Tamandua tetradactyla: one gene and its partner. The main gene of each other region encodes a partner of the protein of the gene in region 2 in a complex. Links are inferred from orthologs where the notes say so. Each region holds a gene or a part of one and is shown on either strand. Other genes may lie near its edges.

Region 1 (7,274 bases), on a different chromosome or scaffold from region 2:
ACGCAGATGCAGAGAGCATTCAGAGCACAAACCCTCATCCCTTGGCACACTGTTAAATGTCTAACATCAAAGAGAAGATGCTAAAATCTTGTCGGGAGGGAGAAAGTCACCCAAAAGGAATAGAAGTCTTCTTGGCAGGTTTTTCATTAAAACTAAGAAGCCAAGTTTAAGACAAGTTATCCTCAACAAACCCAAAAGTGTGTAAAAGAAAAAATCCACGATGATACCTGTGAGGGCGTCAAGAGTAATTAGACAAAGAGGACAGAGGACTCCAGGTTGGAGATTTGATACTCTCCTTGAGAATTTAAAACATTATTTAAGAAGAGAAAGAAAGGACCTTACAGAAAAAAGAAAAAAACGAAAGCTGTACATGAAGGCAAATGCATCATGCAGCTGTGAAGCAAACAATATTTTCATCAGTCATGCTATAGATAACTGCATTAACTGAACATGAGGAGAGAGAAGAGAGGGGATATAGTATGGGGAGATAAACCGGCCCATCACAGCAGAAGTTAAGTTGGTAAAATGGACAAAAGTTATTACCTTGAGCTATGGAGAACTATCTGAAGAAACAAATAAAAGTTTCACGTCTTTGAGGAAGGGTACCAAGAACTGGGACAAGGGCTGCTACTTTTCTTGTGTACCTTACTCAAATGAAAAAAAAAAATGCTCACTGTGGGTGTGTGTTATTTCCTTTAAAACACTTCTGGCAGGGTGGGTTCAAACACTGGCTATGTGACTCGGGCACGGCACTCAGCCGGCATGGGTGTCAGTCTCCTCATTGGTGAAATGGGGACAGCTCCTACCAGGGGTTAGGGAAAGAAAGAATGAATGGAGCCTCAAGCACATGCTGCAGCTCCAGCATGACCAGAGCGGACACTGAAGGTTGCCGCCCCCTGTCATGGTCGGTAACCAACTCTCGGAGTCTGCCCAAGCCCTGCTCTAAGCGGCTCTTCCAGGACTCTGCCGAACTTTATAAGCTGCCCCTTGGCATCCTCTTGTTTTGTGTGGAGCACTTCTTCCATTTCCCAACTGGGAAGTAGCTGCCACTGGGAAGAATTGTCTCCTGTTTTTAAGTCCTTAATTAAATCTCATGGGTAATCTTCTGCCTGGCGTGTTTGGTCCTGGGACTAAAATCGGTTGGAACACATCTGAAAGGCCCAGCTCACAGTATATGATCCGCAAGTGGCAGCTGTTTCTTTAAAAAGTAAAGCCAACAATACTAGAATCCAACAGTCTCAGTGGACCCCTGGGCATCAGAACCCTTTCCCACTGCAAGACAATAAGAAAATGGACGTATATGTGTAGAATTAACGCTACAGGCAATTCTGGTGTTTCCTTTCACCACTCCAGATCATAAGCTGGCACACAACACACTGTCCTAAAAGCAGAATGTTAAATCACTGGGCCATCTACTTTCTGACTGAATGTGCCCCTCACTAGCTCTATTCTGGGTTCTTTTCTGTCTCTTGAACAATTAACTCCTGTCTCCTCTCATCAAGTTTATTACAGTGCCAGTTTTATCAAAGCTAATAGGCCTTGAGTCCTGGGGCAGAAGAGAGAGGAATTACCTGTCCCACATCGGGAGACTCGAACTTGGCCCTCCACAACTTAAAGGCAAGCTCCCTATCCTTGAAAGGCCACAGTTGTCACAGTTCTTCGGGCAGCATTCATTTCTCCAATGCCAACCCAATCCCTACCATCTCATCATTCGGAAATTACTCCTCTATTAAGGCAGTGTCTCCACTGTGCTCACATAATGGGAAATGGAACTTGCATCTACTTTTTGCAGCCTGGGGTGGGGAAGGGGAGAAAAAACTAAAGCCACATTTCAAAAAAATTACATTTCAGAAATAAGAAGAGTACAGGGGGAAAAACCCCGAAATCCTCAACCAACTGGATTAGATCATCTCTCAAGTCGGACGTTTCCTACTTCTAAGACTGCACCTTATTTGCCTTTGCAACCATCAGAATCACAAGTGTTCTGGATTACCAGTGTGCCATTTCACTTTAGTAACTTAAAAAGTAGAGAAAGAGTCCAAAGAAATTAAGTCTACGACACCCCATGACGTTTATGGCACACGATGAACGCGGGGGTGTTGTGCGTTCCAGATTTTCCCGATTACCCAGAAAAGTGAAAACCCAAGCATGCCCTAACTTTACAGCCAGAGCCGTGCATGCGCCCAGGGCGACCCCGAAGTCCAGGGAGGGCAGGCGGTGTGCCCGCAGCCCGGAGCGCCCCGTCCTCGGCCTGCGAGTCAAACCAGGGCTCCGCACGTCCCGGCACTCGCCGCCTCCCTCAGGTGGGAAAAGCCACGGCCAACGGGTCCGCCTGAACCCCCGGCGCCCTTCCACGGCTAACGGGAACCTGGGGACCAGGGGAGCGCGAGGCGCGGGGCGGCCCGGGCCTGGCAACACCTCACCGCGCCAAGCGGGCGCGCTCAGCCGTCCCTGGCCGGGTCCGTACGTACCCCACGCCGCTCGGGGGAAGGGGGGAAAGGCAACCGCAAAACCACCGATACGCGGCCGACGCGGCGCGCCCAGCTCCCCGCCGCAGGCCCTTCCATCTCTGGGCGCCGGGCACCGCGAGCTCCCCTTCCAGCTCAGGCGGAGGGCGGCCCCCGCCGGCACAGAACGCGGAAGAGGGCCCGGCGGGTGGGCCGCGAGGCGGGAGGCGAGGGCAGGCCGGGGCGGTGCGGGCCGCGGCGCCGGGGGCCGAGGCCGCCGGGCGGGACCGTTGGCGGGGCCGACGGGGGACGCGGCGGGGGCGACGGGGCGGCCGGGGCCAGGGACGGGCGGAGGGCGGAAGGGCGGGAGGGAGGGGGAGATCTCGCTCTCGCTCTCGCCCCGCGGGAAGGGGGGGAGGCGGAGACGCGACCGGCTGCGGGAGCTGCAATTACCGTGTGGGCTGCGGAATTCTCGTGGTGTTTGTCGGGGAGATGCGATAATGGCGTCCGTCCTCGCGAGAGAAGCCGCCGTTCTGCGCAAGCGCCGCGCGTCCCTCCCCGCGGCCCTCGGGCCTCCGCACTCTGCGCAGACTCAGTGCGCGCGCCGCCGCCAGGGGGCGGAGCCCGCGGGTGGGGCCTACTGCTCCGCGTCCGCCGGTGCGCCTTTTCGCCGCTCACACGACGGTGCGCATGCGCACGCGTTCTACACTCCCTCACGGGATCTGTGGCCTCCTGGGTTCTTATTTCCCCCCTATATACTCGGTCTCCTTGCTAGTCCGTGAACGATTGTCTCAGTGGGTCGTTTGAGGGATTTGCAGGGTCTTTGAAAATGGATGACGAGGATTAACATCGCGGGTGACTACGTATCCCAGGATGCCCTGCGCAAGCTCCTAGCAATGCATTCTGGGACTCGTAGTCCCACCGCCCGACCCATGCCTGCCGGTACTTGTAGTCTTTCCGTCCTCCGGCCGCCCCGTCCCGTCCCGCCGCACGGGCTGCTGGGACTTGTAGTTCAGGAGGCTTGCGTTCGCGGCCCCCCGTGCGTCCCGCATAGATATAATCTTTGTTTCATATGTAATATATAATGTCTGTTTTATGCAATATAAACGCACGACATACTAATATGGATATAAATTTCATCTTGTATGGCGTAAGTGTGACTTTTGGGGTTCTCATAGGAAAAAAGCCCCGAGCCATATCACCGCGCGGGACCGGGACACCCGCGGAAACGTGCCCGCTTCCCGCTGCGCGCCGAGATGCCGCGGCTTCTCCTCCCGGCCGTGCCGGCCCCGAGCTTCGCGCTGTTCGCAGTGGGAGGAATCACTTCGATCTCGCAAACACAAGCGACGGAGCAGTTTCGTGTTGGCAGAAGAAAGCGACTCACCTGGCGTTTCGCACTGACCCCGCCTCAAACCGCGCAGCTGGGCGGCCTTGCCCAGCCCGAGGCGCCTCCCGCCCGGCGCCCCGGCCTCCTCCCGCCACGTGCCTTGAGACGGTTCAGAGAGCCACGGAGGGCCCGCGCTGCAAAAGGTGTGGGAAGACCTGCAGGCTACCACGAAATCGCCCCTTGTTCCAGATGAGGGACAGGCCGCGCAGGGTCATGCAACCGGACGGGCCGCGCAGGGTCATGCAGCCGGACGGGCCAGGTCATGCAGCTGGACGGGCCGCGCAGGGTCATGCAGCCGGACGGGCCGCGCGCAGGGTCATGCAACCGGACGGGCCGCGCGCAGGGTCATGCAGCCGGACGGGCCAGGTCATGCAGCCAGACGGGCCGCGCAGGGTCATGCAGCCGGACGGGCCGCGCATAGGGTCATGCAGCAGGATGGGCCGCGCAGGGTCATGCAACTGGACGGGCCGCGCAGGGTCATGCAGCCGGACGGGCCGCGCACAGGGTCATGCAGCCGGACGGGCCGCGCACAGGGTCATGCAGCCGGACGGGCCGCGCACAGGGTCATGCAGCCGGACGGGCCGCGCACAGGGTCATGCAACCGGACGGGCCGTGCGCAGGGTCATGCAGCCGGACGGGCCAGGTCATGCAGTCGGACGGGCCGCGCAGGGTCATGCAGCTGGAAACAGGAAAAGGCCGAGTTTGGAGTTCACAGCCCCTCAGCTGGAACCCGGTCTTGGGCCAGATCAGGTGGGGAGGAGAGGCTGCAGAAGTAAGCCCCGAAAATTTCCCGGGGGCGTGGAGGGGAAACTTACCCCCTCCTCTCACCTCCACCCCAAACACTGCCAAAACTCGCACATTTACATAGGCAAGAATTCTTCACGTGGATCCTGAAAGTCAGACTAGAAGGCGGATAAACTGGAGGTGATATTTTTCATCTTGTGTCGGAACCTTGTGGATCCCTTGTCAGTAGCACCCCCTCCTGTGGGCATCGCCTGCGGCCCCCAGGCCCCTGCTGGGCGGGCAGGAATGACTGAAGGCCTGAAGGAATGATAAAGGTTGACACATTCTGAACCATCCAATAGACTAAAAGCTAAAGACTTCCAAATCATTGCAGATTAGCACTGTATCAGAAATTAAGGTGATCACAATTATAATTACAGTTATGTTGAACTCATTGGCTTCTCTTTAGATTTTTTTAGTTCATTTATTTTTCATATTGCTGCCCCATAAACTAAGATAGAGGCAGGTGCTATTAAAATATTGATATCTGGTGATGAGCCATGATTTTTAAAATTGGATAGGTAGTAATCGGCCAAGCCGGCTACCTTCCAATAAAGTTCCGCTTAGTCACCAGGGGGGCCCTTGCCCTTGTCAGACAATGAGTGCGAGAACCCAATCCAATTTCCTGTACAGTGGCCTGGAGTCTAGCACATGGGGGCTGGAGGGATCTCAGTTCACACGGGGTCACTGAGGGCACCTCTGCAGGGAGCTGTCCCTCGCAGGACGCAGGTCAGTGAAGGGTTGAGCCGAAGGTCTGGCCCAGGACGCAGGTGGAGGCCAGCCAGCCCTGAGGGGTCCATCCTTATCCCAAAACAGTGGGGCATCTGCAGGGCATTGGACCACAGTAGGCCTGGCAGATTGGCATCTTGAAAGGTCACCCTGGCCCGAGGGCTGGAAAATGGATTAGAAGGCACCCGAGGAGCTGGGGGAGAGGCCAGCGGAGGCTGGGTCCAGGCCAGAGGCCATGTCGCAGTGGAGTCCGCGTATAGGGAAGGGGACAGAGTCATCGGGACCTGAAGATGAGTCTGGTTCAGAGCAGGGAGCAGGGAATGGTGCCAGGACAGTCGCCAGGCTTGGGCACAGGCATCATCACCTGGCCACGGTGTTGCTGACCCTGAACATCCCCTCCTGGTGGTTGGCCACTCCACGGGACCTGGGGCAGTCAGCACTCTCTAGGGAAACAGAACCCACAGGAGAGATCTACAAATATGAGATGTATAAAGGCATCGCATGCAACCCTGAGAAGGGAAGAGTCCAAAACCCATCGGCAGGATGTAAGGCTGTTGTCTCTGATGAAGGGTCTAGATGAACTCCACGGAAAGGCTCGTGGCTGGAGAAGCAGTGGAAGAGTCTCTCCCCTAAAGAGCCTTCAGGTGATTGGATTATCTCATTATGGGGCACATGCCTTAGTTGATTGCAGATGTGATCAGCCATGGATGCAGTCAAGTGACTGATGATTTAATCCACCAGCCCTCTGGTTCATCAACCAGCCACAGAGTATTCTGCATCAACGGTCAGGCCAGTGAGTGCCTGACCAGACCACTGGGCATCAGCATTTGGCCAAGTTGACACCAGACCCTCACGGTCACGGGCCCCTTGGTGATTCCCTGCCCACCTCCCCCCCAACACACACACACACCTTTTCTGTTTTGTCTGTGCAGTAGGATGATAAAACCTGCCTCGTGGTGCCTGACGGAGTTTAGAAGCCCGTCATAGAAAGCCTTTACTGCAGCACTTGGCACAAGGGGACACTCAGTCCCAGAAATGTTGTTACCTGTATCTACATGAAAGACGTAGATGATGCATCTACTAATGAAGTAGTCATAGCAGTGCCATGGCCCACTTCGTAAGCTCCAAGGGCTGGGCCTTTGCCTAAACCGTGTAATAACCTCCAGTCTGTCTGCAGATTGCCACTCTCCTTGACTTCTTTTTCCCCTCTTTCTTTTTAGTTGTGACAAAATGCACATAATATTTACCTTTTGAAGGTGTACAGTTCAGTGGCATTGAGTACATTCATGATCTTGTGTAACCGTCACCATGATTTTGTTCTAGAACATTTCCGTCCCTGCAAAGAAAGCCCTGCCCCCAATAGCAGTCACCTCCCCCTACCCCACGCCCACCCCTAGCCCCTGGATACCCGTCTGCTTTCCGTCTCGATGAATCTGCCATACTGCACATCTCGTACAAATGGAACCAACCAATGTGTGACCTTTGGTGCCTGGCTTCTTTCTCTCAGCATGCAAGGTGCAGTGTGTATGTGTCTGCGCTTCGTTCCTTCTCATGGTTGAATAGCATCCCATCGTCTGGCTGGACCTCATGTTGCATATCCACTGCTCAGTTGGTGGGCATTTGAGTGTTTCCACCTTGGGCTATTGAGAACGCTGCTGCTGTGAATATGAGTGGACACACTTCTGCTGAAACACCTATTTTCAGTCCTCTGGGTACTTCCCTAGAATTACTGGGTCTTATGGTAGCTCTGTGTTTAACTTATTGAGGAACCACGTATGTGACTTCTTAACAAGACCCTTGGTCGTTTGGAGTCAAAAGGTGCTGACTTCCTCACTTGTTTATAGTTTCTCTGTGTCTGGAACGTCCTGTTTTTGCCATCCTTTATCACCTAGAACAGCAGTCTTCAGTTTGGACTATATGTTGAAATT
Region 2 (7,060 bases):
GCACTGGGAAGGACTTTTACTTCCTCTGGTCTCAGCAGGAATGTTCCCCACAGTACACTTCCTTTAGTTCTTGAGATAAATGGCAGCATTTCAGTGTTCTAGTTAAAGCCAGGCTCAACCCGCCGCCTCACCAACACTCACTGCCTCTGCCTGCCTGTCTACATATGAATGTGTAGGCGCACACTGCATCCAAACCCCGTAACCTCGAGCCTCAGTGGCAAAGATTACGATAATTCTCTTTTGAGAGGACCTGGAACCTTAAGCAAGAGGGCAGAGTCTACGTGACTAAAACATACCAACTTCCTCTTTCATAAGTCATCACATGATGAAGTACAATTACAATTCCTGCCTTGTCTCTGTGAATTGCAGACACATTGCCTCACCCTAGAAACCCTGCTCCTGTGTGTGGAGGAGGCGGCTGTAACTGCTGCAGCAGCCGCTTTGGAAGGGATCCAACTCCAGTCTGCGCCTAGAGGCAGGGCGGTGGGTGGAAGACAAAAACAAAGCTATGTTTACTTAGCATACATCGATAAAGCTGCCTCAATGCTACAGGAAAGGCCAGGCAGCATGAAAGACTTTTGATACAATATAAGGAATTGCTGTCCTGGATCCAGGGCCAGTCTTAACCCTCCTGATCCCGGATCCTTTTAGGGCAGGGGAGCCCAGAACTAAAATAGCCTTTCTATTTTCCAGCAGGCATTTCGTTAGGGAAGTTACAACAACTCAGTTTCGACATTAAACTGGCAATGTAAAATGAAAAGGAAGTGCTCTTCTTTTGCAGAAGAAAAGCTCTGTTCTAAAAGATCCTGCCTTAGAACCTTTCAAGGCTGAATTTGTATTTCAGTATTTCTATTTTGGGATGGGGCCGTAGGCTTTCCCTTGAGTCCATCACTGTGCCCGCTGGTGATGGCTCTAACGTATTTTCTTTGAATATGTTCCAGTCTGCCTGGGGGTGGGGGGTTGATATCTTGGAGGAGGGGTGCTGAGTTGGTTAGTCTCTTTCTGGCGGGGGAACCTTGGGCCAAGTCATAGGTTGAAGTTAGTGGCCTAAGATCTTAGCCCAGAAAGTGGCTTGGAGGAACAGGTCCTCAGGTCCTGAAGGCGGTGCACTACCCCCACAGCCAGGTGCCGGGGAGTGATCAACCCCACGCGTGCCCGCAGCTCTCAGGAGGGATGTGGGCGGGCTCCATTCTCCCAGTTTACAAGCAAGGGTGAGGCGGGATTGCAACTGCAGGGCAAGGCGGGGCGGGGGGGGGCGGACACATGCACACACACACACACACACACACACACCATGGGGAGTCATTTAGGCGTGCGCACCTTTTTCTCTAGATATTCTCAAGAAAAGACTGATTCAGGTTAGCCTGTAAAAAACATTTCCGTCTGGCATTGCGTTTTCTGCCATTTAGAGCGTTTTTTTTTTCTTTCATATGCTTTAAGCAGCACCCCCCACTGTTTCTCTGAGGGCTTTCCCCCCTTTTCCTTGTGGTTAATCCCTTCGACCAACCTGGCATTTTCAACAGCAACAAGAGAAACGTCAGCAGGATTTTTTCCCTCTCTCTACCTACCAATCCAGTTGTAGGAAAGATCATGTAATTAGTACTTCACACTTAGCCAGCTCATTCCAGTCGAAGGGAAAGATGTGGGCCTACGTTCCTAACAAAAGAAGCTCCCGAGGCCGCCCTTCAGAGCTGCAGTGTATAAATCCCAATTGAGTGACTAAGCCCACGTCTATTAGTCAGTAAGACTAATGACCAGCCACAAGTGATTTACCAGAAAACAAATCAGCTCCTCCTCCCGATAAAAGTATGAAACTCAAGTGTTCAACTCAGTCGGGCTCGAGTCTATATAACCGCAACAGCTGCAGGCAAGCGCGGTCTTCGCGGGTCTGCAATCGCAAACCCTTCGCGCTAGGCGGGTTTGTTGGCACCTGAGGATAAACTTGTGTCGGCCTCCAGACAGGGACAAAACCGCCCGCCCCTCCATCACGGCACCAAGTAAGCGCCGCCTTGCGAACAGCCCCCGCCCCTCCACGACAACCGTCGTGTAGTCGCCCCTAAACCAGCCCCAGAGAGTCTCCCTCTACGGAGGGGCAGCCGCACACCCTTCTGCGCTGGCGGGGACCTCGCAGGCCGTCACCGCGGCATTTCACCCACTCTCTTCACTGTACTAGAGCCTCTCGCTACATTGAGTAAAAAGTTTAGCAGGGCTGAGGGAGGGACCTGAAGGCCCAGAAATAGCAGGCGGGGGGTGGGGGTGGTGGAGGGGAGGGGGGCGGTGCCTGCGCCGTGACGCGGAGGCGCTGGCTATAGATCGCGCTCTGTTTCCCCGGATCCCTGGAATGTGCATTTCGTTTAATGAGGCTGCAAGTGCCAATTGCATAGAGTCACGTCCGTGCGGAGCATGCGCAGTCCGCGGCCGCGGCGGCGGCACATGGGCCGCGGCGCGCACGTCACGGCGGCTCCCTGCCCCCGTTCTAACCTACATAAGGCGGCCCGCGCGCCCCGCCCGGCCCGTAGCCGCCCGGCGCGGTCGGCGCGGCCTCTTGAGCGACCCTCAAGGGTCCCCTTGCGTACGGTGCGGGTCCCGAGCTCCTGGGGAAATCGGTGGATGAGGAAGGAAGGAGTAACGTAACGTGGCAGAGAAGAAAAACTTTGTCCATTGGCTGTGTTCCTGCACCAGCTACCCTAGAAACGAGATCTATCAGTGAGGGTGTTATTTATACGGCGCTTCCTTTCCCTTTCCAAGGGGACTTAATGAAAAATTCACAGGCCAACCGGACGGAATTTTTTTTTGTTTTCATCAGAAATTTTAATAATTGAAATCTGTAATTACGATAGAACTGACACAACTCATCAACCACACTGCAACCGGAGGCATTTTAACCCTGTCATTGTTTGGGAAACATTTCAGTGTCTGTAAAACTTAAACGGTACAAATGGTGCATGTGGCTTTTTCCGAAACAAAACAAAAGTGTAAAGGCATGCTACCCTGATTTTGTAACTACGCGTCCTTCATTCGGATTTCAAATATAACTCAAAAAAAAAAAAAACCCTTGTGTAAATCACGCTAGATTTAAAGTTTCCATCCTCCAGAGCTTATTGGCAGAAACCAAGTAGCAAAGTGGCATCGTTTACAAAACAAACAAACACGGTTTTACCGAGATTCGACCAAAAAGGACATGAGGCGGGGGAAAAAGCCCTGACTGACAAGTCGATATAGCCGAGTGGAGAGCGAGGAAAGGAAAGTGGAGGAAAAGAAAAACAACATTTGCATCACATTCACATTGGAAAGCCTTTCCGCTCCTCCCTCTCGACCGCGGCTGCAGAGGAGCCAGCACTCCGAGAGGGGAGCTGGTTGTTGCCGCTCTGCTCCTGGCACAAGTTCCCGGAGCGCCGCGCGGGGCGGGAGGGGGACGAGCGCCAGGGCGCGAGCAGCGGGCGCGCGCGCGAGGGGAGGGGGCGCTGCGCGCAGGCGCCGTGCGAGGCTGTCGAAGAATCAAGTCTGTAGAAGTGGAGCGGCCGCGGCGGCAGCAGCAGCAGCAGCGTCGGCGGCGGCGGAGCTGAAGCGGGTAGGGCGCTGACGCCCGCGCAGGCAGAGCGGCGACGGCAGGAGTTGTGAGTGAGCGGCGGAGCGACCCGGGAGCCCGCGCTGCGTCCTAACTCCACGCGCACCGGTCGCCGCCGCCTCGGCGCGGCATGCCCCGCCACTCGGGCTGAGCCTCCCCCGGCGGCCGCCCCCCTCCCCCCGCCCCCCCGACCTCCCCGCCCCCCGCCCCTCACTTAGCGCGGGCCGCCGCGACCTGCTGCACTCCCCCGCGTCCGCGCGGCCCGTGTTCGCCCCGGTCTGGAGACCCGCCGCAGCCCCGGCCGAGCCCCCGCTGCAGCGCCCGCCGCGCCGCGACGCCCCACAGCCCGCCCGCACCCGCCGGGGGGACCTGCTGCCGCGGCTGCACCCTCTCGCCCCGCGCCCCCCGCCTCTCGTGCACCGGGGGCGCTGTGCGGGCGCCGAACCTTCGCGGGCTTTGCCGCCGCCGCCGCCGCTGCGGCCGCCGCCGCCTCTGGTGGGGGAGCCGCGAGGTTGGGGGGGGAGGAGGGCGCGTGTGTTGCCGGCGGGGGGCGGCGGCGCCTCCTCCTCCTCCTTCTGCTGCTGCACCGCGGGCTCCTCGGACATGGCTGCGGCGGTGGCGGTGGCGGCCGCGTCCCGGCGACAGTCATGCTACCTGTGTGACCTACCCCGCATGCCCTGGGCCATGATCTGGGACTTCACCGAGCCCGTGTGCCGCGGCTGCGTCAACTACGAGGGCGCCGACCGCGTCGAGTTTGTCATCGAGACGGCCCGGCAGCTGAAGCGGGCGCACGGTTGCTTCCAAGAGGGCCGCTCCCCGCCCGGCACCGCGGCCTCGGCCGCTGCCAAGGCACCGCCGCCGCTCTCGGCCAAGGACATCCTCCTGCAGCAGCAGCAGCAGCAGCTCGGCCACGGCGGCCCCGAGGCGGCCCCGCGCGCCCCTCAGGCCTTGGAACGCTACCCGCTGGCGCCCGCCGCGTCGGCCGAGCGCCCTCCGCGCCTCGGATCCGACTTCAGCGGGAGCCGCCAGGCGACAGGCCTGCCCCAGCCGCCGACGCCGCAGCCGCCGCCGGTGAACGGCATCCTGGTGCCCAATGGCTTCTCCAAGCTCGAGGAGCCACCCGAGCTGAACCGCCAGAGCCCGAACCCGCGGCGCGGCCACGCGGTGCCGCCCACCTTGGTGCCGCTCATGAACGGCTCGGCCACGCCGCTGCCCGCCGCGCTGAGCCTCAGCAGCCGCGCCGCCGCCTCGCTGGCCGCGGTATCCGGGGGCGCCGCCGCTAGCCTGGGCCCGGCGCAGCCCGCCGAGCTGGGCGCCCACAAGCGGCCGGCGTCGGTGTCGAGCAGCGCCGCCGTGGAGCACGAGCAGCGCGAAGCGGCGACCAAGGAAAAGCAGCCGCCGCCGCCCTCGCACCGGGGTCCGGCCGACAGCCTGTCCGCAGCGGCGGGGGCCACAGACCTAGGCGCAGAGGGCACTGGCAAAGGCCGCGGGCCAGGGGAACAGGACTGGGTCAATAGGCCCAAGACCGTGCGCGACACGCTGCTGGCGCTGCACCAGCACGGCCACTCCGGGCCCTTCGAGAGCAAGTTTAAGAAGGAGCCGGCCCTGACTGCAGGCAGGTTGTTGGGTTTCGAGGCCAACGGGGCCAACGGGTCTAAAGCAGGTAGGGGCGGCTGTGGAGTGAGTGGGTCTAGGGGAGAGAGGGCTGTTCTTTCCATTCACCATTCTATCCCAACCCCCAGAAATAACAAACACCCAACTTCCTGATCTGCCTGAGGCGGAACCAGTGCTTAGTGGCAACGTGTTCATGTGCTGAAGCAGCATAACAGAGATGAGTCAGACTGGGCTGATAGGCACTGACACAGGGTTTTCCTTTCCCAGCACATTCTTAGACGGGAGTGTGAGGGCACCGGTCACCTTTTAACCTGTCTGGGGACATTATCACATGCACAATTCAAACTGGGGTACATGTATGCATGTGTAATTTCACATCCAGTTTAATGCAGTTTAAAAACAGGCACTTTTATACATGTCATTTCCTGCAACTTGGTTTCTTTTTAATAGATAGTTATTTCAGAGCTCCTTAAAGATAAGTGTTTCAAGTTGCACTTAAGCTGGAAACACGGGTTTATACATATAATGCTTTTAGAGAATAAAAATTGCCTAATGAGGTTTGTTTCACTTTGATAAAAGAATGATTTTCAGTGCATCTTTATTTATCCCCTCTTTTCCTTTTCTTTGTTTTCGCAGTTGCAAGAACAGCAAGGAAAAGGAAGCCTTCTCCAGAACCAGAAGGTGATGTTGGGGCCCCTAAAATCAATGGAGAGGCACAGCCGTGGCTGTCCACCTCAACAGAAGGGCTCAAGATCCCTATGACTCCTACATCCTCTTTTGTGTCTCCACCACCACCCACTGCCTCACCTCATTCCAACCGGACCACACCGCCTGAAGCGGCCCAGAATGGCCAGTCCCCTATGGCAGCCCTGATCTTAGTAGCAGACAATGCAGGGGGCAGTCATGCCTCCAAAGATGCCAACCAGGTTCACTCCACTACCAGGAGGAATAGCAGCAGTCCACCCTCTCCGTCCTCTATGAACCAAAGAAGGCTGGGCCCCAGAGATGTGGGCGGCCAGGGGGCAAGCACCACAGGAGGACTGGAGCCAGTGCACCCTGCCAGCCTCCCGGACTCTTCTCTGGCAGCCAGTGCCCCACTGTGCTGCACCCTCTGCCACGAGCGGCTGGAGGACACCCACTTTGTGCAGTGCCCCTCCGTCCCTTCGCACAAGTTCTGCTTCCCTTGCTCCAGACAAAGCATCAAACAGCAGGGAGCTAGTGGAGAGGTCTATTGTCCCAGTGGGGAAAAATGCCCTCTTGTGGGCTCCAATGTCCCATGGGCCTTTATGCAGGGGGAAATTGCAACCATCCTTGCTGGAGATGTGAAAGTGAAGAAAGAAAGAGACTCGTGACTTTTCCGGTTTCAGAAAAACCCAATGATTGCCCTTGACTAAAACTGCTTGAATTGTATATATATCTCCATACATATATGTATGTGTGTGTGTGTGTGTATAACATATATATATACATACACACACACACATATATCCAAGACAAGGGAAATGTAGACTTCATAAACATGGCTGTATAATTTTGATTTTTTTTTTGAATACATTGTGTTTCTATTTTTTTTTTTTTGACGACAAAAGGTATGTACTTATAAAGGCATTTTCTTCTTTTGTTAATGTTATTAGCATATCTTTGTGCTTTATTATTCTGGTGACAGTTACTGTTCAATGTAGGCTGTGACTTGCGCTGCTTTTTTAGAGCACTTGGCAAATCAGAAATGCTTCTAGCTGTATTTGTATGCACTTATTTTAAAAAGAAAAAAAAAAGCCAAATACATTTTCTGACATTGTAAGATTGCCTTACTGTCTGTTATTCCTTATTGCTGGCCCCTTTCTCAGGCTAGAGGCCAATGGTGAAGGAAAGGAAATG

The links. The genes of interacting proteins can lie anywhere in the genome.
Region 1: IRF2BP2 (region 2) and BANP share a complex: the UniProt entries of both Homo sapiens proteins name them as parts of the corepressor complex. The link is inferred for Tamandua tetradactyla from reciprocal best matches to the Homo sapiens genes IRF2BP2 and BANP.

What each region holds. Positions count from the first base shown.
Region 1 is NC_135342.1:82,348,097-82,355,370, reverse strand, and holds the start of BANP (protein BANP), read right to left. Parts: upstream 3,015-7,274; 5' UTR 2,901-3,014; intron 1-2,900. UniProt on the Homo sapiens protein: Controls V(D)J recombination during T-cell development by repressing T-cell receptor (TCR) beta enhancer function. Binds to scaffold/matrix attachment region beta (S/MARbeta), an ATC-rich DNA sequence located upstream of the TCR beta enhancer.
Region 2 is NC_135333.1:4,779,481-4,786,540, reverse strand, and holds IRF2BP2 (interferon regulatory factor 2-binding protein 2), read left to right. Parts: upstream 1-3,984; 5' UTR 3,985-4,171; coding exon 4,172-5,231; intron 5,232-5,818; coding exon 5,819-6,534; 3' UTR 6,535-6,983; downstream 6,984-7,060. UniProt on the Homo sapiens protein: Acts as a transcriptional corepressor in a IRF2-dependent manner; this repression is not mediated by histone deacetylase activities. Represses the NFAT1-dependent transactivation of NFAT-responsive promoters.